Linked DNA regions of Arabidopsis thaliana. The protein of the gene in region 1 purifies or fractionates together with the protein of each later gene. This does not show direct contact. Each region holds a gene or a part of one and is shown in the gene's direction. Other genes may lie near its edges.

Region 1 (7,674 bases):
GTGGACATAAATATTAATGTCTAAACCCACCCCACTACAGTACTATTTGGACTAAGCCCGTTTGACACCTTTACTAATTATAACCACTAGTGAGTAGTTATATAAGATTATCTTCAATAGTAGTTTCTTAGAATAGTTATAAGAGAAATAGGTATAAAATTTAATGTTTAATTCATATAATTGGTAAGAGATGACTCTTATATAAGAGTCTAAATACATCTTAAGAGCCAGACACGTGTTGTGATATAAGTGGGAGAATGAGAAATATTTGCAAAATTCTGTAATTATGTACTACTAATCGTTTTATGTATGTTTATGTCATGTATGTTTAAACTTTGATATCATGTATGTTTCAAATTTTATGAATTGCAATAATTATTAAAATTTTTAAAAATCAAATGTTTATATATTTTTTAAAAACCTCAACTTAAGAGCTTACGATTGGACATTGCCAAACATTTAAACTTTTATCCAAACTTTTAACTTCAAAACTTTCAAATCAATTATAAAAATATTGCTAAGAATCTTTGCTAAGAATTCACCATTATAGATTCTCTAACAAATCTTGGCATAATCATTATTATTAAAAAAAACTTTTTGTAGAGTTCTTGTTTTTTCCTTTATAATTTACTTTTCTTTCTCTTTTTCTTTTTTTTTGGCAGAATTTAACAATTTTTTAATAAAAATTTAAAAATATAGCACTATATATGTATCAGTTAACTAACATAAAAGATAAATTAAATGACCAATGGAGGAGGTGACGGCTCCGACGATGGTGGCTCCAACGATGGTGGTAAGTTCGGCAACAGTGTGAATCTAGTGAGGACATGCGGTGGATCCGGCGAGTGGTTCTCGCGAGGATGGTGGCTTGGAGGACGGCGATGGTGGTGAGGACACTGGTAGCTCCGGCGAGGGCAGTGGTTCCAATGAAGATGGTGGCTTGGAGTTGGAGGACTGCGGTAGTGGTGATGAAGATGACGGCGGTAGTGGTGGTTCCGCCGATAGCGAAACTGTGGTGGTGATGGTTGTTGTGGTGGTGGTTAATGGTGATAGTAGGGAGGATAAAATTGTCATATTATATATTATACATCAACTCTAATATAAACTTTATTGTATAGGTTAGTTTCCTCATCATTTGCTATTGCAAGTTATTTCTCTCTCTAAAGATTTGATGTAATTTAATGCTTACTTAGCCATTTTGCACGACGCAAATAAACTAATACCGCAAAATTCGTGATTACGCAAATAACATTATCTAAATGGCCAAAAATAACTCATCCCATCTCTTCTTTTTTTTTTTTTTTTGGTCTAAAACTCATTCAATCTCTTCTACACTTGCATTTTCTAATTACTGAACAATAAACTGCTTCATACAACATAATTTTAAATATGTTTCGTTTGAGATAAATTGTTCGACATTACTAAAGATTTTGGCTGATCAAAAAATTTATCAACCTTTACCACGATTCAATTGCCTAGTCATAGGCACGAAGACTCTTGTTTTCGTTTACAAGCATTTGAATGCTAAAAGTACATAGCCGTCTTTGGAGACATGATCTAATAAAAAAAGATCTACGTTGACGTATAGAAAACACATTGATTAAAGAAAGATATCTCTTAAACTTTATGGGCAAGAAGAAGATATTTTTATAACCTGATAGACACACATGGCAAAATTAAAAATATCTAGATATATGTACAGTTAATGTTCTTGATATTATTGTGCCCATTTGCATTAGACATGGCACAAAAATGAACACGTCATTTTTCAACTAAAATAACTTTTCAACTTATTAAAAAATTCGAAGATAACTATAATTCGTCGATGCCTATACGAAATACGAGGTTCTTTTTAACACCTTCTTTGGACAATAGATATTGAGATTTACATCTTCTGCTCTTTCCGACAAAAGCCCATCTCTTCTGTCTTATTTTCTTCTGAAGGTTCTGTTTTTTTTTTTTTTTTTTTTTTTTTTCTCATCCAAATAAGTACTTGAGAGAATTATAAGAAAATTCGTACTTCGTTTCTTTGGACAGTGTACCTCCACGTATTCGTCTCTGGTAATAATCTCCATCACAAATCTCTTTTTTTTTTCTTTTGTGTGACTCTTGTTTCTGGTGGTACAGTTTGCTCATCGATTGAATCGATTTGTATTTCTTCCACACAAGAAAAATGGATTTGTACTTGTTTCTGGATTTTATATATCTGGTGTAATTGTAAGTATAAATTTGTGGAATTAGCTTCTTTTTTTTTTTTTTTTTTTTGGAGAATTTACTGAAAAAGAATGTGATCCTAGTTTATCAAAAAAAGAATAAGAATGTGATCCTCCTCACATTTGTTTGATGAAACTTTTTGTGTTCTTTAGGTTTAATTCTGAGGTTGTGTGAAATTTGGTGAAGAGAATTTTGAGATCATAGTAATTATCCACTTGCTTGATGCTCATGAGCTCTAGTTTAGTATTGTGTTTGTTTTGAATTATGATTGAGATAAAGGATATTTACTTCTCAGGTGATTTAATCAAAGCCTCTGGAGAAGATCTGTAGGTACGTACAAATGTCTGAACATGTTATGGTTTTGGGTAAAGGTAACAAAGGAATCAGCAAGAATTCTTCAGTCAATCCATATGAATCAGCTTGGTTAGGTCGTTGGACTCAGTCAGGTAGTGAAGTGAAGTTTCATGATGGTGAGACCAATTGCTCTAAGCAGTTGATAAGACCTGAAGATGAGAATCATGGAGTCGAGGTCTTGCCGTTTCCTATGTTCAAGGTTTCTCAAAAGAGAGAGACTACTACTACTACTACTACTAAACCGTCTTTCCATGAAGATGTTGGTTCAAGCTCGAGAGCTATGGTTAATAGAATGCCCTGGATGTATCCGCAAGGAGAGAACTTCAGTTCTAGTAACCGTCTTGACTTCCCAATTCAAGAAAAGACTACTCAAAACTTGCTAGAGTTGATAAGACCGGTGAGGATTTACGCAACGGTTGATTCTGTTAACTTGCCTAAAGAAGATAGTCATCAGTTATTGAAGGGGTCTACAGTTTCCATGAAACTGAAAGGGAAGATTTTTGGTGGATATCTTGATCTGTTTCCTAATCAAGATCACTCCCACAATAGAGGAGGAGTAAGGCTGCAGTCTCTAGAAAGCTCAAAGGATACTCAAGAAGATGGACCGAGAAAAAATGAATCATCGGCAGAGACTAATACCTTAGAAATGGATAGACTTCAGACTATACATCTTTCCGGCTCCATTTCTTCGTCATCAACTAAGGTATTGTTCAATCGACATATCTACATATCTTTACTCAAAATGTTGAAAGTTGTGATTGTGAAAGATGTTGAAAATTCCGCAGGGAAAAGGAATAAAAGGCTACTCAGCCATTCCAAGGACCGAAATACCTGACATGAATGAAGAACCACCTCTTGTTCCGGATAGAGAGAATTCAGTAGATGGACATCAGGGAGAAACAAGCAACTCGGCTACTCAAAGTATGAATGTGGAACACTTTCTGTCCAGAGATTGCAAACGTGTGCGGTTGGAACCAGAAGTAGAAGCCAGCAGTAGATGGGTCAAGCGTCTGAAGACAAGCCCCTCAGATTCCAGTGAAACCAAGAGCATGATGAAGATGAAAGAAGCATCACTGGGAGAAAAAGAGAACAATAATCTATTCCTTGAGATCTTGAAGTCCGGAATCAACAATCTCCAACCGAGAAATCAAGAACCCGTCGTTTCACAGAGCAATGATCTGAGACAAGGAGGAGATGACATTACACTTCTGCATCCATGGATCCAGAGGTGGTGCAAGAAGAAAACTACATCAACAGATCAACCAACAGGGCAAGAAGCTAGCTTTGAGCCAGAGAGTCACAAGGAGTTCGAGAAGAAACAGTATCCGAGTATTGCAGCCATGGCATTGATGGGGAAGGCTCTGAGCGGTTTAAACCCATATGGTCTTAGAAAGACCAACTCTCTCATGGTTTGGAATGCAAGGGATTTGAGGTAGGAAAACAAAACCATCATCCTCATCTTCCCTTGTTTATCATTACAACGTAAAGTCAAGAACATCAAACAGAACTAGCTAGCAGGCTTGCTACGATCAAATATTTTGACAGGTTCTACCTTATATGTCAGTCTGACTATTCTTATAATAGTTTCAGTTTATGTATGAATACCTTGTTTGCATCATAAATATTCCCTTTTAATCGTTACCGCATCAGTATTTTGATTTGTTACTGGCCTTACAAAAATGATAGCATAATTCAAAGTGGTAAGTAAATCTGTTCTCTCGAAAATCTTGATTCAAGGGAAAAAGAGTAACATTTAACATTAAGTCAAGCAAGTAGCCCTAGTGTTAATCTGCTGACTTGAGTGAGTAGAAACCATCCTTATCGTGCCTTTCACCATCAAATCTCTTATCGCCTTTCTAGCAAGCGACCCATTGATCTACGACAGAAACCAATACAACATTTTACACATGATCAAATTCTTGAGCACAATAAAATTTCTCTTTCAATAACTCGATAATCTTGAACCTATCCCAACACATTATAAAGAGCTAATTCAGTGAAAAGAGTGGAGGTAGAGAGTTAGTTAGTTTACCCGAAGACGGTCAGAGAGAATCGAAGGAGTGATCAATTTGAACTTAGGAGCTTCAGACATAAGCTTGTCGTAAGTTGCTTGATCGAACAGAACCATGTTGTTCACCTTCTCCTTTTGCTTTCCTTTGCTCCACTTCTGTTGAAATCAAGAAATGAGAAACGTAAATAAAACAAAACCCACCAGAAACCAAATCAAAGAAACTTACTGATCAAGTAAAAAAAAAAGTGATTGTGATTTGGTAAAGGACCTTCTTTTTCTGCTTTCCGCCACCGGATTTGGCGGGTTTAGAGGATGGTGGTGGGACTTTGTCCTTCTTTGGTGCCTGGAATCAGTCAGAGAAACCACACACGAAATCTGTATGCGACGAATAAAATCAACCATCCGAAATACCTAAAACCTATATAAGCCAAATATTTTTATTTTTATTTTGGTAAGGTTTGTTCGATTTTTTTTTGGTAGGGTCTTGTTCAATTTTATGTAGTAAAATATATTTTTAAATTGTATATTAACTTTATGTTTTATTATATTCCAAACTGGGTTATAACTTATAATTAAATGTAAAAATTTAAATATTTGTGAAATGGAGAAAAGTAAAAATTTATCATGACAGACGTCTTCATTTCCCTTAATCTTAATCTTAACATAGTAAAAATCTCTTTCTTCAATTTATCTATATATAAGATTTTACTTTAGTTATGTTTTAAAATAATAATATACTCTTAATTGGGTTATAAATGTGAAATCTATATATTTTTAAAAGGGAGCAAAATCAAATCTTATTGTGATAAATATATATTTCTTCATTATATATCCTTAACTTTTAATTCTTCAGTTTTACATACAGATCTTTACGGTGGAATTTAACGATGGCAGATTGGCCCTTACTTCCGAATGACTTACTAGAACTAATCATGGGTCATCTTGAGACATCTTTCGAGATTTTCCTCTTCCGTTCCGTCTGCAGCTCATGGCGGTCTGTTGTACCTCCACTAGATCATTCCCGCTGCTTAGGTATCAAAACTCATGATATATCGTTCAATGTCGGCTTTTCGTTCAACGGCCGACCAACGAATGAATATTGCACACTAAAAAAGATTCCAATATATCTCGTGAAATTCTGGACTCCGTTTGGTGATGATTATCTATTGGCAGAGATGCGTGAACGAAATGATGGGGAACCGAAGTTATTGTTGTCGCCCTTGTCATCTAATGGTATCAAGTATGGAATGGGAATAAATAAAGTGTTGTTCAACTCTCTTACCTCACCAATTATCCCATTTGGACAATACTACGAGGTTGGTGTTCAAAAGCTCATATTAGTTTTTGAAACTTTTATCTTTTCTTTTTGATAATCATTTAACCACCACTTTTTAGTTAGTAGGGTGCTTGAGATTGTTACTTATTTCATTGTCTAACTGATTTTGAGGTAAATCAGCTAATGTTTGGAATTCTTTGTGGTATTAATCACGATTCTGTAAATAAATATATACAAGTCACACTATTCATAACTAAGATATATAGGATTTAAACTGATATCAAACCCATCGTATTAGCAGCATGTAATCTTATCTCTAATAAATTCTCTCTAACCTTGCTAATTAATAAATAAGACCGCAAAGTTGGTCCTGTTATTATTATCATTATTTTCCTTGTGTCTTCAATTTAGCCCCATAATCTTCGATGCAGATAACCTACATTGAGAAGCGACCCAGTGAATACCGCTTTGGATTTCCCTATAAACTAGAGTGGGTGGAGATTACCGAGAGAGTTGAATTTCTTAAACTGGATAGTGAAGATAGCAGAGATTTTGCGGTGCTTTTTGCTGGAAGAATGTGCAATTTGGTGATGTATAGAAGCCGTAACATGAGTTGGACTCAAGTTGTGGAGCATCCTGAAAAGTATGCATATCAAGATTTGGTTGCATTCAAAGGAAAGTTTTATGCTGTTGATTCAAGTGGAAGGGGACGGGTCTTTGTTGTCGAACTTTCTTTCGAAGTTACGGAGATCCCCTCAGTCGGAGGATCGCAACAGTCTTCTAAAGAAAGTCTGGTGCAGTCAGGCGAGGAGTTGTTGCTAGTGCAACGGTTCACACCTGTTGGGCGGCGTTATGATGAATATATATATATACATGGTTCAGAGTGTTTAGACTTGATGAAGAAAGAGGAAAGAGAAAGTGGGTTCAAGTTAATGACTTGAACGACCGAGTGATCTTTCTTGGAGCTCAGACGAATCTCTGCTGCTCAGTACATAAGCTCCCAGGTGCAAAGGAGAATTGCATTGTGTTCATTGAATCAAATGATTGTTTCATCATTGACAATGACTCAGTCCTTTTGTTTGACTTAAAAACCAGAAGAACTAGTACTGCGTTTAATGAATGCAAAGGCTACATGGGCGTGTTCGGCGCAAATCTTGAATCTTTATTGTCTTGTGGACTTGTGACCATTCGAGACCCAACGAAAAGCTTTGATTTCTGTTATGATTATAAATATTAGTCTTTTTTTTCTTCTGGATTCCAATATGACAAAACATCTATTAATATATGTTTCGAAACGCTATTATTATATTTAATATATATTATTTGTATAGTTTTCTGATTATATTCTACCAAACAAGGTGCGGTAATCGTCTAGTTTTCATGTTATTTGGGAATCATTCATTGCAATGACAAATTTTTTGTAAGAGCATTGATCAGGTCATACGAAAAAAGCTCCTTTTATTCTGATGCATACAACTTTTTTTGTATTCTGATGCATACACACGTACACAAAAACACATACAAACATGAAGTGATGAAACATAGATAACTTTTTTTATGATAAAAATGAAGATGGCCAATTGCTACATTCATAATAACAGGTGCACGTACGGAATCCATATAGTCCCACGCAACGACCATAATCGTTAGGCCCGACGTATGCCTTCCTACAGTACGCTTTGCAATTATCACATGGTACACCCTTGTTCTCGCGTTGGCACATATAAGAACCTTAAACCCACGGAAGAAAAGAACAAAAAAAAATTTGTTAGACATTTTACAATTTGTTCAAGCGTCACCATTTCCTTGGCCATATCTT
Region 2 (3,750 bases), 8.7 Mb from region 1:
GCCTTGTCTGCTTTGATTGGCTTCATATCTTTTTCATGTTGACATGTATGCTTAATTCAAGTGCATTTGTATCTAGTTGGGATTGTATAACATTCATTGGCTCAAAGAGATTGTTTATTCATAATGAACCTAAAGATGAGGAACACACATGTTTTTATGCTGTGCTGCAGGCATTTTCTGGTACGCAAAATGTCTCTAATCAACAGAAGGAGGAAGCTTGGAGAGTCAACGTCCAGATACAGGGTATTGACCTTGAACATGGTTATCTTTGTGGCACCATGGAAGCTCTAAACGTTCCCATGGCAGACACTCCTGTAAGCCCTTACACTCTTACTCATTTTTTCTTCATATTGCTTCCCCTTGAATTTCTAATAGGGGACACGATTCTTGATTCTGTGAGTGTCAGGTCATAACATTCTGGGAAGGGGAAATCGTTGATGGAAAGAATTATACCTTTTACACCGGAAAATGGGAAGCAACGTATGTCCCAATTCCTATATTCTTGTAGATTTGAAACTGATGATTTCTTATCGTGAATAAATTTTTGAAAGTTTGTTTGTCACAGGAGGGAAGATGATATGAGACATTGGTCAAAGTTCCCGTCTTTTTCGCCTCTTCAGGTAACACTCGAGTAACATTGTTTGTATAGTCAGTAACATCTCCTAAGCAACGTTCTGGACTTAATACTGCAGGGACAAGTTGAATCTGATGGTGGCAGGCAATTGGATCTTAACAATTATCCTTATATATTTATGGTATAACTCTCAGTTTTTCCTATCGAATCCAATCATCATTTTCTCTCAAGTATTCCATAATTCCTGCAACTCGGGTTTATTTTTGTGGTGGTGCAGAGATGGAAAGAGCAATACTTTGTAAACGTTGGCACAGATTGTGGACTAACAATAGCTGGATTTTACTACGTATGCTTCTCCTGCAGCGATGGTTCCATCAGCGGTTTCTATTATGATCCAAACAGCAGGTTAGTCCAAGATACAAACTATATAATCTGTTGTTGTTTGAGATAAAACCTGATGATATTTTGTTTCTGGACAGTCCGTTTCAGAAGCTGGAGCTGAAAACAGTTAACGAAGGAAGATCTGGTTTCAGCTTTTCTTCTTACGAGTTGCAATGATGAATGCTACCAAAATCATCAGACAGCGCCATATGATACTCTCGTCTAAACATGCGATGCACGTGATCCAGTACATTATGACGTGTCAATTATTATAAATTATTAGTAAGATATTTTTTTGCTTAGCTAGTAGACCAGACCAAGTAAAGAACTAAAAATACTATTTTGTCATTATGGTACCAAGCTAATAGTTTATCTGGAAAAAGAACAAATTGTCCAAAAAAATAATTACCAAATAGTTGAGAAGTTTTTCTAAAAATTTTTGTAAAAAAAATCCAAATTCTTCTAAAATTAAGTTTTTAATAGAAATTTAAAAAGACAGTTCTACATCATATTATTTTCTTTAAATAATGATATAAAATTTATAAACTATTATCTTTGTAAGATAATGAATATTTATACCTATGTAAGGGAAAAATTGATAAATATTTATACATCCTCATCCAAAAGCCCATAAAATCGTTATGGGACAATAGTAAAAAAGATTGCAAAATCGTATGGAGCGAAAGATAAAAATAAAAAACGGTCCCGTGTAAGAAGATGGGTCACCTCGCCAACACGTAGACTCTTTTCACGCGCCAAATCAAACACCATGTCGACGAGATCAACGGATTCAAATGTTTCGTGTAATACACGCTCCAACGTAGCGCGTCGTACACTTGATGCTTAATTTATGTATTTTAAGTTACGCAGTTTCCAGATTTTCAGACCCTCTGAAAGTGGAAAGAGCATTTTTTAAAAGAGTAATAAGAAAAACAATTATCTTTGAACTCTCTCTATCTCTCTCTCTCTCTCTGCGATCTATGCCTGAAGTGGAAGTGGATAACAACAACGAGAAGCCATCTGAGATTAACAGGTTTCAGTTTCTCAATCTATTCCTATATATTATCATTAGAGATCAAATTTCTTATTATGCTTCTTCTCAGTTTCTTTAAGATACAGAGGATTGACTGATTATGTATGTATTCATGTCAATGGTTGACCAAAAATCATAGCTGCAGAGGATGATTGAAGTTTTATCTTGATTTTAGCTTATTTAATCGTTGAGATTAAGAAAGTTTTCCTGTTATTCTTTCCTAAACCCTTATTAAGTTCAAGATTAATAAAGTCAATTTCATATATTTGGTGATTAAGATCCATCCACTATCTTAATATGTGTTGTTCTTTTTTTTTGCAGTTTCCATCACATGATCATAAGTAGTAGTAAAAATGTGTTGAAAATGGAAGAAGTTGAGGTGAGCAAGAAGAGGAAATTTCAGACAGATCAATCTGATGAGTTATCGTTATTACCTCTGTCAAAACACACTTGTTTTGCCAATGTTGCTTGTTCAGAGAATACAAATGGTAACTCGGAGATTGATACAGAGTATTCAATGTCTTCTTATGTGAACTCAACAACTTCTATGGAGTGTAACAATGATATAGAGATGAAAGAGGAATCATCTGGATCATGCGGTGAAGACAAGATGATCTCTTTCGAAAGCCATCTAGATTACATCTATGGGACTCAGAACTTAGAGGATTTTTCAGAGAAAGTCATTGAAAACATTCTCTATCTCGATGAACAAGAAGAAGAAGAGGAAGATGCTAAAGGATGTAGTAGTAATGCTGCTAAGTTTGTTCTGTCCTCTGGAAGATGGACTGTTAACCAAGGTAAAGAAAACCGGATTTTGGTTTGACCGTATTGATTCAATGAACCGGGGATTCACTAACTTGGTTTCATGTGTACAGATGATTCTACTCTACATGAGACAAAGAAGCCTACCATTGATCAAGAATTTGAACAATACTTCTCAACGCTAATGCTGTAACAAAATGATGTTGAGACTCAAAACATATATGAAGAGATGTATGTACATAGAACTGTACTCGTTCTGTTTTGATTCTTGTCAACCTTAAAAAAACGTTCAATTCAAAGTGATTAGAGAGCTTCTTTGAAATGTTTGCAACTCTAGTCTTCAACTTTTAAGATTTTTATTAGCTTGCAAAACTAATCTTGCTTATATATCTTGTTCTGCCTGGATCAGAAATAAAAGTTAGTATAAAAAAATTCTGAGATGATTATGACACTCTGATCCTTCATATGAACCAATCTTGTGTTCAAGAGTATCCCTGATGTATTTCAGTACCAACTTAACTGAGAAATGAGAGTCAATGTTCTTTAATAAGTTTGTTCAGATGATATCTTCTTCTTTTTTTGGTTGGTCACCTATATTCAATCTGCTCTCTCCAAATTATCTCCAATACACTCTCTTCTGAACATAATACAAAAATTCATAACTTTTTCTTATTATGGTCAAAAGTCTTGTTAATATTCAACTTGTTCCTTTCTAATGTAAAATCTAAACTGATTTAATAAAGAAAAAGATGATAGCTTATTGATATTCTTCCTAGTAAAACATTTTGGCATGATGGTCAAGACTCAAGATTTGCTAGAATGTGGTTCCCTCGCATTATCAGTCTTCTTGGTCAATGTCTAGTAGTTTTAAATTCGCTATAAAAATAGCAAAAAAAAACAAAAACAAAAAATTGTTGATTAAAAAGAAATTAACACCAAACTTTAAAAATAGTTATCCTTAGTAATTTTATGTAAGTATCTTTAACACGTAAAGTCGAAC
Region 3 (6,450 bases), 4.0 Mb from region 1:
TGACCAAACTATTTTGAGTACCATTGGTAATTCCTTACCTTAAGCTTCCAGAGGTATTAGTGCTATATATTCATAGTGCCACCGAGTATTTTGAACTCCGAAATGATTTCTCACTATCCGACCACTCCCAATTATATAACATGCTTAGAATTATTCGTAAGATGGATCGTAGTTGCATTTTACGACACCATACAGGACAAGTCCATGATAGTTTGAGTTGGTGGATTTTGGAACCCCTGCAAATTTATTTTATACATAACAAAGGCCCCAATCCATTCCTTAGCATCACAACTTGGGACTTCTATCTTTTGAAGGATACATTCACTTGTTGGTTTTGGTAAATATGATTGTTTCTTTACTTCCGAATAAGCAATATATAAAAGTATCTAAAAACGGAAGTAACTTTTGATGATCCTAAAGGTTTTGTAATTGATACATGTCCAAAAACCTCTTAATATTCTTTCTCACAAACTGTTGATGGAGTTAACAAAGGGAGACAAGGTAATTGGGACAATATCAACGTTAGATACAGGACAAGTGAAAAATGTGGGGTTGATGTCTTCAGCTGCAGCATATCACCGTTGGTATATATTGTCAATTATTAGTCCTATGGATTTGAAACGTGTTTTAGTAAATAAGAGTGTCCAAGTGGGACATTTCCAATAACGTATCACAGCTCCTAGAGCTTTTGCTATGTTTCTCTAGGCCTGGGCCGCCTAGCCCACATTCCAAGCAAGGAAATGAATGGAGTTGGGCATCAAAATTTTGGAAGCATTTTTAAGACAAATTATCTTTTAAGTTTCCTTTTTTAAACATAAACTATATTTTAGGCTTTTTTAAGATAAATATTATTTGGATTTTCTTTCACTCATATTTTTGGATTTCAACTTAACAAAACATAGGGCGTGTCTATTTGACTCCACCTACCCACCCTACTGGAGTTCGATCCCACTAAATCGCGTTATCCCGCATAGTAGGGATTGACTATGGATCGGACTTTGTCGATCCAAAGATATCTAAGAAATTCAGAAAAGATTGTATAAAATTCAGAAACGATTTTACGAAATTCATGAAAAATGAGAAATACATGTTTTTTTTAATTTACGTCGGCATTAAAAACGTTGGACCGGCTCTGTGTTTCACCAAAGAAATTGTTTCAGTTTATGCATGATCTTCAACTTCCATATTCTTGTTTTCAATTCTGGAAATCCCTAACAGATCGGAGCTCTCCTCATTCAGTGAGTTGGAAGATTGCATGATTATATAATTACTCTTCACATCCACATATATTACATTATATTCCCCTATAATTTCATACAACCCTAGAAAAGAATCTTCAAGTAATCTAATCGTGTCGATGACTCCACTCATTTGCTAGAAAAGAAAAAACAAACAGACTTCATTTAGCTGAAAACAATCTTTTATTCAACATTACAAAGCACTGATCAAAGAACCTCTAACATGGTAATATATCTATGACATTTTACGTATCCTAAAAGAAAACAAAAAGTGATGTATTGGATGATGTTTTTTTTTTTTACTTTCTAGTTTCTTATTACAACGACAAAAAGAGTCCACGTCGTCACGCACTTTTCCGGTGGTGAAAAAAATGTCCAAATGGATTAAATCTATAATATCTCCAGAGAGATCCTCTCCTTCTATCTTTTTGGGCTCCACTTTTCCTATCTCTTTTTGCCCCTTTCCTCTCTCTGTTCACAAGTCATCTTCTTCCTTCCTCTGAATCTTGTTCCTTTTTGCTCTCTCTACTTGATTCACCCACTCTGTTTCTCGATTAGTACGTTGAAAACTCACTTTGGTTTTGTTTGATTCCTCTTTAGTCTGTTTTTCGATTTCGTTTTCTCTGATTGGTTTGGTGGTGAGATCTCTATCGTAGTTTGTCCTTTGGGTTAAGATATTTCATTTGATTGGTGGGTTTGTTTTATTGAAGCTTATTGTTGTGAAAGTTGGAGTCTTTCTCAGTTTTTAGGTTGAATTATTAAGAGAAAGGGAAGATTTTTGGTGTGAAGTTAGGTTATTTGGGGTTTGAGAAGTTTGCAAGTGAAAAAGGTTGTGAATTGTGAGTGATGAAGAGAGGGAAAGATGAGGAGAAGATATTGGAACCTATGTTTCCTCGGCTTCATGTGAATGATGCAGATAAAGGAGGGCCTAGAGCTCCTCCTAGAAACAAGATGGCTCTTTATGAGCAGCTTAGTATTCCTTCTCAGAGGTTTGGTGATCATGGAACGATGAATTCTCGTAGTAACAACACAAGCACTTTGGTTCATCCTGGACCATCTAGTCAGGTATTGTTTTGATTTTGATCATTGTATAGGCTCTTGATGTTATTAGTTGTATGAGTTTGGATGTTATATAGCCTGAAAGAGAAAGTAGGACATTGGTTGATCTATGTTTCAATTGTTATCAGATCATAGTATCTTCTTTTTGCTTATGGATTGAGCTTTTAGGATTGAATTCTCCTGTATATATGAGAGTCTTGTAGACACAAGTTTATCTAAGTGTGGTTTATTTCTTAAAACTAACATTCTTGTTGTGCCTGATTCTTTTTATGTTCTGAAGTTCGATGAAAGTTTCTTGTGATTGCCCTGAGCATTCAGACTATTGCAAGGACATGAGAAATAATCCTTTTTTACCCTCTTCAATGCAGCCTTGTGGTGTGGAAAGAAACTTATCTGTCCAGCATCTTGATTCTTCAGCCGCAAACCAAGCAACTGAGAAGTTTGTCTCCCAAATGTCCTTCATGGAAAATGTGAGATCTTCGGCACAGCATGATCAGAGGAAAATGGTGAGAGAGGAAGAAGATTTTGCAGTTCCAGTATATATTAACTCAAGAAGATCTCAGTCTCATGGCAGAACCAAGAGTGGTATTGAGAAGGAAAAACACACCCCAATGGTGGCACCTAGCTCTCATCACTCCATTCGATTTCAAGAAGTGAATCAGACAGGCTCAAAGCAAAACGTATGTTTGGCTACTTGTTCAAAACCTGAAGTTAGGGATCAGGTCAAGGCGAATGCAAGGTCAGGTGGCTTTGTAATCTCTTTAGATGTATCAGTCACAGAGGAGATTGATCTCGAAAAATCAGCATCAAGTCATGATAGAGTAAATGATTATAATGCTTCCTTGAGACAAGAGTCTAGAAATCGGTTATACCGAGATGGTGGCAAAACTCGTCTGAAGGACACTGATAATGGAGCTGAATCTCACTTGGCAACGGAAAATCATTCACAAGAGGGTCATGGCAGTCCTGAAGACATTGATAATGATCGTGAATACAGCAAAAGCAGAGCATGCGCCTCTCTGCAGCAGATAAATGAAGAGGCAAGTGATGACGTTTCTGATGATTCGATGGTGGATTCTATATCCAGCATAGATGTCTCTCCCGATGATGTTGTGGGTATATTAGGTCAAAAACGTTTCTGGAGAGCAAGGAAAGCCATTGCCAAGTAAGTTCACTAGAAATTTACAGTTTGGTTATTTATTCTCCGCTCTTTCTATTTATCTCCTTCTTTGATACCAACATTTTTTGCTTGAAAGAAGTTAATATTTAAGCATTGTTCCGTAGTCTTACTGAAGCTTTTTCCTCTGTTGTTTTTTGCTATTTTCATTGAGGACTGTGGTAGGGCATATTTCACTATCACCAAATTTCAAATTTCTAGAACACTCTCCTTCATATTTTTTTTCATGATTAATGCTGCAATTGATTGCTGATATACATATATGACTATAACTCAGTTTCATATTCTGTCTCATTTTGGGAGAAAGAGATTTCAGGTTTATGCTTGAGAAGTGATGGTTCTATAGTTGAGAGGCCCCTGATTCATCTAAAATGGTCCTATTATGTGTTTAGTTGTAGAGTCCTCGGTAGAATATTAACGCGTTTAACACGTTGGATCATGTTATAGCAGGGAGGGACATTCTCTGTTGACCTATATTGTGCAAGGTGCCCGCCGATGGCTTTATTACTATACCTTCTTTGCATCTGGTTGTTGGAACATGTCCCTGTCTCGGTTTGGTATTGCTTTTATTCTGCACTGTCGTCTTGGGCATTTTCCCTACTTGTCATTCAAGGGGTTGAACCAGGTAGGGAAATGTTTTTCCGAGGACCCCAGGATCTAAATTTTAGTTAACCATACGTAAAGTTAGTTTTGAGTCTTATGACGATGCAGAATTATAGTTTCTTCTTACTACTGCTTAAGAGGATCCTTAGTGTGGTTGTGAACTACAGAGTTTTTATGATTGTAGGCTTCATGACTTAACTTTTAAGGTTCAATGTACTCTAATCCATATGGTAAGGTATCGGATTCACGACCAATGCAAATAATAAGATTTTTATTTCTTGCTTCTTGTTAAATATCTGACATCTCATTTTGCAGAGGATAAGCTGCGCTGTAAGCTAGATTTCAATAAGCCCGTCCTTTGCATTGTTATCTATGCTTTAATATGTCATTGGACCCATTGATTTGGTTTTCTTCTATCTTTTTTGATTGGCTATGTATTCTTGTTTCTTTTTTCCTATCTCATTTCGATCGTATTGTTCCATTAGCTGTTCAACCTAAACTATGTCTCTCTTTGTTGAACTTTTGATGGATAATCTTCTTAATGTGACTCTGTTTCTCATTACAGTCAACAAAGAGTATTTGCTGTTCAACTATTTGAGTTGCACAGACTGATTAAGGTAAAGTCATTCAGAAACTTCTCATATGTTTCCATGAGTATTTGTTTCTTCTCGAGCTGAAACAAACCTCTTCAACTGTGTAATAATCAGGTTCAAAAACTTATTGCTGCATCACCGGATCTCTTGCTCGATGAGATCAGTTTTCTTGGAAAAGTTTCTGCTAAAAGCTATCCAGTGAAGAAGCTCCTTCCATCAGAATTTCTGGTAAAGCCTCCTCTACCACATGTTGTCGTCAAACAAAGGGGTGACTCGGAGAAGACTGACCAACATAAAATGGAAAGCTCAGCTGAGAACGTAGTTGGGAGGTTGTCAAATCAAGGTCATCATCAACAATCCAACTACATGCCTTTTGCAAACAACCCACCGGCTTCACCGGCTCCAAATGGATATTGCTTTCCTCCTCAGCCTCCTCCTTCAGGAAATCATCAGCAATGGTTGATCCCTGTAATGTCTCCCTCGGAAGGACTGATATACAAGCCTCACCCAGGTATGGCACACACGGGGCATTATGGAGGATATTATGGTCATTATATGCCTACACCAATGGTAATGCCTCAATATCACCCCGGCATGGGATTCCCACCTCCTGGTAATGGCTACTTCCCTCCATATGGAATGATGCCCACCATAATGAACCCATATTGTTCAAGCCAACAACAACAACAACAACAACCCAATGAGCAAATGAACCAGTTTGGACATCCTGGAAATCTTCAGAACACCCAACAACAACAACAGAGATCTGATAATGAACCTGCTCCACAGCAACAGCAACAGCCAACAAAGTCTTATCCGCGAGCAAGAAAGAGCAGGCAAGGGAGCACAGGAAGCAGTCCAAGTGGGCCACAGGGAATCTCTGGTAGCAAGTCCTTTCGGCCATTCGCAGCCGTTGATGAGGACAGCAACATCAACAATGCACCTGAGCAAACGATGACAACAACCACAACGACGACAAGAACAACTGTTACTCAGACAACAAGAGATGGGGGAGGAGTGACGAGAGTGATAAAGGTGGTACCTCACAACGCAAAGCTCGCGAGTGAGAATGCTGCCAGAATTTTCCAGTCAATACAAGAAGAACGTAAACGCTATGACTCCTCTAAGCCTTAATCCTCTCTATGCGTATTGTACTTGATATGTATTTTACAAAATTAGAAAAATTGTGATAGATGTTATCCTCAATATATGTACCATGTAAACGTATTATGGTGTAAGCCTCATTTATATGTGTTAATTTGTCTTAAAGCCTTGAAATCACTTGAACAACAAAGATTATTTGAAACAACTACTTACAATCACTGTTTCTTTTGTCTGTGACATCAAGAACTTAAGCATCCCATATTTACAACATCTTGTCTACATAGGAAGGAGTATAATTGGTAGTAAGATATTAATGGACATCGATTAATATAGGGCGGAGACGAAGATCAAGCACTGAATCCACGGTCAAGAGAGCTCCAAGGACTGGTAGGGATGGTGGGACAAGCCTGCATTGCTGCCTCCTCCATTTGCCTCATCTGAATCCCTGCGTTGCACATGTTTGCAATCGACCTCATGTGCTTTATTCCGTACTGAGACAACGATCCACAGTGCCTCTCGAAAGCTCTCACCTAACAACCACATAAAGGAGAATAAGAAAGTGATCATCACAAGAAGCTTAATCATCTAATGAGGACTGAAAGTGATTTTTTTCCGACATATCATATCGTATCTAACGTCCTGAGTCTTGCATCCTCTGGCCAATACCATTGTTTAA
Region 4 (2,713 bases), 9.7 Mb from region 1:
CTATCATGTTTCTATCTCTCTGCCCCTCATGATTTCCTGCGGTAATTATCTTTATCACTCTAAATCATCAAAGCCAACCCTTAACAGATCAATAAGTCTACTAAAAGAGAAATTACAAGTTTTTTTGAAGGAAGAATCAAACACATTCCACATAACATATAATATGCAGTTGTCTATCGTAAATGTTTTACCTTGACAATGGTTTTCGCAAGTAACGCATAATGGTCGAGAAACATTACATTTGCGACGAATTTGAACCTTATTCCCATATATCTCGAGAAGGTGACATTGCTTCATTTATGGGTATTCACCAAATAAGCATTCAATATGAATGGTAGTAATAAAGATTACCACTCGTACTTCTATGAACTTGGATTCAAGTTAGAGCCATTGTGAGTCCACTTCTGAATCTTTCCACTTACCAACCCATTTAGATGTTGCAGAATTACCATTTCTATTGGTTTTCCTATCTGCTTCTTTATCTTTGAGAAGCCAGCTTAAGTTTTAGCGCATTTAGCTCTTATTGCAAGATTGCATTGTGTCATAAAAGGTCGTTCTAAGTAAAATCTGGCACATGTTTTTCCAGTTAGTGGATTCATTTGTGAAACAGTTTGGAAAATGTTGCGGTTAAGAACTGTATTGCCAAAAATAAATTAAATGTTTTTCATCATTACTCATTGGTGACTGAAATGAATTGAGGTCCCTATACTCTTATTGCTTCTCAGCATCGAGTTGTTTGTGCATCACCATTGTCATGACTCATGATTTTTAGAATCATTTATGCAATTCATCATCTTAATCATTATCATTATAGGATGATTGTATCATATATAACAGTCGAAAGGGAAGGGCCAAAAAAAGTGAAATAAAGTTTTGTTCTTTGTAATGGAAGAAAAAGTTGGGAGGAGAATCATGGTTTCACTATGGTTCTTTGGAATTTTGATTTTGGTAGTTAGTGCCCAGGTTCCGGGAACCAAATTCTGATCATACTACAAAAAAATATCTTGCGGATTATTGTAGCTCTTGTCTTGCATAACATGAAGCTTGGAATTAACTAAAGAAAGTTTCTTAGAGATTCTTCTTCTTGTTTGTTCTCTAAAGAATCTAACACTCTTTGTAATGTTTATCTAAACTTGGAACTAATTAGATGTGAAACACTACAATTCATTAAACATGAGATCATGCGTATAGGAATTTGGTTCCTGCTGCACCGTGGCAAGTCGTACACCATATACCTTTTTCCCTATTTTATTCATATTTTACTTTATATTCACTTTACAATAAATATCTTTAGATATTTCTACAATAAGATCCTTATCTCTCTCCATGGTTTAATTAAAAATAAATCCAAGAAAAGTGCATAAAAAGATATGTACTTTTTATTCCTCTACCCAATCACTTCACAGCTTCACTCACGCGCGTGTTCTTTGATATCAGATAGATACGTCTACGTGAGATACACGCTCTTGTTAATCAAGTGGTGATGAAACAGAACTTACTCGCCTCGGTGTCCGATTCTACTCAGAAGATATTTACTATAAATATCTGATTTCTCTCGACTTTGACGAAAATCAAAAAGAGAGAAAAACACAATTAAAAATTATTATGAAGAGGAACGGCGAGACGAAACGGCGGAGGAACGTGGCGGAGGAGGCAGAGCAGGGAGAGGATCCGGCGATGTGGGAGAATCTTGACCGGAATTTCAGACAAGTGCAATCAGTTTTAGACAGAAACAGATCACTGATTCAACAAGTCAACGACAATCACCAATCGAGAATGGCTGATAACATGTCGAAGAACGTTGCTTTGATTCAAGAACTCAACGGAAACATTTCCAAGGTTGTTAACATGTATTCTGATCTCAATACTAGTTTCTCGTCGGGCTTTCACGGTGGGAAGAACGGTCACGATGGTGGTGGTGCTGCCGGAACTAGAGCTTAATGAACCGGAATCAAATTGTTTCTTCTTAGTTGGACCGGCCGGTTTGAGAATTTTGAATCTGTCCGGTTCAAGCTATGATATAAAGTAAATGTTTAGTTTTTGTATTGCAATGATGATTGTCGTTAGAATAATCCGTGGGAGCAAACCCATCTCTATTGGGGTTATTTTAGTTATGGTTTTGAGTCTTTTTCAATGTGTCTCTACTGCAATCTCTCTAATGATTATAATAATAATTGATACAGTATTAGATTACTTCTGGTTTGATTCTATTTAGAGACTTTTCTCATGTGACCTTGATAATAAATGAAGGCTTGTGGTTAGATTGTTGCAACTTGGAGTAAGTAATTTCGTCACATAGTGATGCAATTTGGTATGACATGTTAAATACAGTTGTTTTCTAGTGACTTTTCACTAGGCTGTGTATTAGAGAACTCTAGCATAGAAAATTTCTACGTTGTGACAATATTCATTTCCATCAAAAAGCAAACAGAAACTGCAGTAAAATAAATGTTGATACATGAGATCATGATCTAAAACCCAGGCAAACTATTTCGGCATTCATATACCACTAGAAAGCAAAGATCTTAAGAAGACGAAAGAGCTTTTGCACAAAAAGGACTAAAAAGAAGCATAGTTATTTGAAAGGGGACAAATGGCCAATTTCATATCAAAACATGAACTATCAAACCTATAAGTTTTTTTTGGGATTAAAATGGCATATGAAGAGGTTTAAAGTGATTAGCTCTGCTGTGACTGAGTAAATTTATGATTT

The links.
Region 2: the proteins of AT2G16365 (region 1) and FHY1 purify together in Arabidopsis thaliana (affinity purification with mass spectrometry, with the first as the bait; one study listed by BioGRID). This does not show direct contact.
Region 3: the proteins of AT2G16365 (region 1) and ELF3 purify together in Arabidopsis thaliana (affinity purification with mass spectrometry; 2 studies listed by BioGRID). This does not show direct contact.
Region 4: the proteins of AT2G16365 (region 1) and ELF4 purify together in Arabidopsis thaliana (affinity purification with mass spectrometry; 2 studies listed by BioGRID). This does not show direct contact.

Annotation. Positions count from the first base shown.
Region 1 is NC_003071.7:7,072,386-7,080,059, forward strand, and holds AT2G16365 (F-box family protein), read left to right. Parts: upstream 1-1,976; 5' UTR 1,977-2,061; exon of another isoform or gene 2,062-2,217; intron 2,218-2,266; exon of another isoform or gene 2,267-2,509; 5' UTR 2,510-2,554; coding exon 2,555-3,271; intron 3,272-3,353; coding exon 3,354-4,000; coding exon of another isoform or gene 4,001-4,004; exon of another isoform or gene 4,005-4,264; intron 4,265-4,327; coding exon of another isoform or gene 4,328-4,444; intron 4,445-4,600; coding exon of another isoform or gene 4,601-4,735; intron 4,736-4,847; coding exon of another isoform or gene 4,848-4,925; intron 4,926-5,432; coding exon 5,433-5,895; intron 5,896-6,286; coding exon 6,287-6,796; 3' UTR 6,797-7,134; downstream 7,135-7,674. Other genes in the region: AT2G16340 (uncharacterized protein), read left to right, coding at 749-793, 860-1,099. UniProt on the Arabidopsis thaliana protein: Together with PCHL, regulates growth and development adaptation to the ambient environment by controlling negatively phytochrome B (phyB) dark reversion, a temperature-dependent thermal relaxation process during which phyB reverts from the active to the inactive state.
Region 2 is NC_003071.7:15,800,882-15,804,631, reverse strand, and holds FHY1 (far-red elongated hypocotyl 1), read left to right. Parts: upstream 1-1,838; 5' UTR 1,839-1,935; coding exon 1,936-1,988; intron 1,989-2,309; coding exon 2,310-2,785; coding exon of another isoform or gene 2,786-2,811; exon of another isoform or gene 2,812-2,863; coding exon 2,864-2,943; 3' UTR 2,944-3,214; downstream 3,215-3,750. Other genes in the region: AT2G37680 (glucose-induced degradation-like protein), read left to right, coding at 171-314, 407-480, 566-620, 693-755, 852-979, 1,054-1,132. UniProt on the Arabidopsis thaliana protein: Key regulator of far red / red (FR/R) spectrum-specific responses essential for the adaption to changing light conditions (e.g. de-etiolation), essentially by regulating PHYA shuttling from the cytoplasm to the nucleus and by directly regulating the expression of some target genes, depending on light conditions and phosphorylation status.
Region 3 is NC_003071.7:11,057,375-11,063,824, forward strand, and holds ELF3 (hydroxyproline-rich glycoprotein family protein), read left to right. Parts: upstream 1-1,569; 5' UTR 1,570-2,084; coding exon 2,085-2,303; intron 2,304-2,503; exon of another isoform or gene 2,504-2,665; coding exon 2,666-3,462; intron 3,463-4,642; coding exon 4,643-4,694; intron 4,695-4,784; coding exon 4,785-5,804; 3' UTR 5,805-5,950; downstream 5,951-6,450. Other genes in the region: ALPHA-VPE (alpha-vacuolar processing enzyme), read right to left, coding at 6,122-6,304. UniProt on the Arabidopsis thaliana protein: May be a transcription factor part of a circadian clock input pathway. Acts within a 'zeitnehmer' feedback loop and is involved in its own circadian regulation. Has no role in regulating circadian clock function in the dark.
Region 4 is NC_003071.7:16,733,773-16,736,485, reverse strand, and holds ELF4 (EARLY FLOWERING-like protein (DUF1313)), read left to right. Parts: upstream 1-1,573; 5' UTR 1,574-1,605; coding exon 1,606-1,941; 3' UTR 1,942-2,192; downstream 2,193-2,713. UniProt on the Arabidopsis thaliana protein: Component of the central CCA1/LHY-TOC1 feedback loop in the circadian clock that promotes clock accuracy and is required for sustained rhythms in the absence of daily light/dark cycles.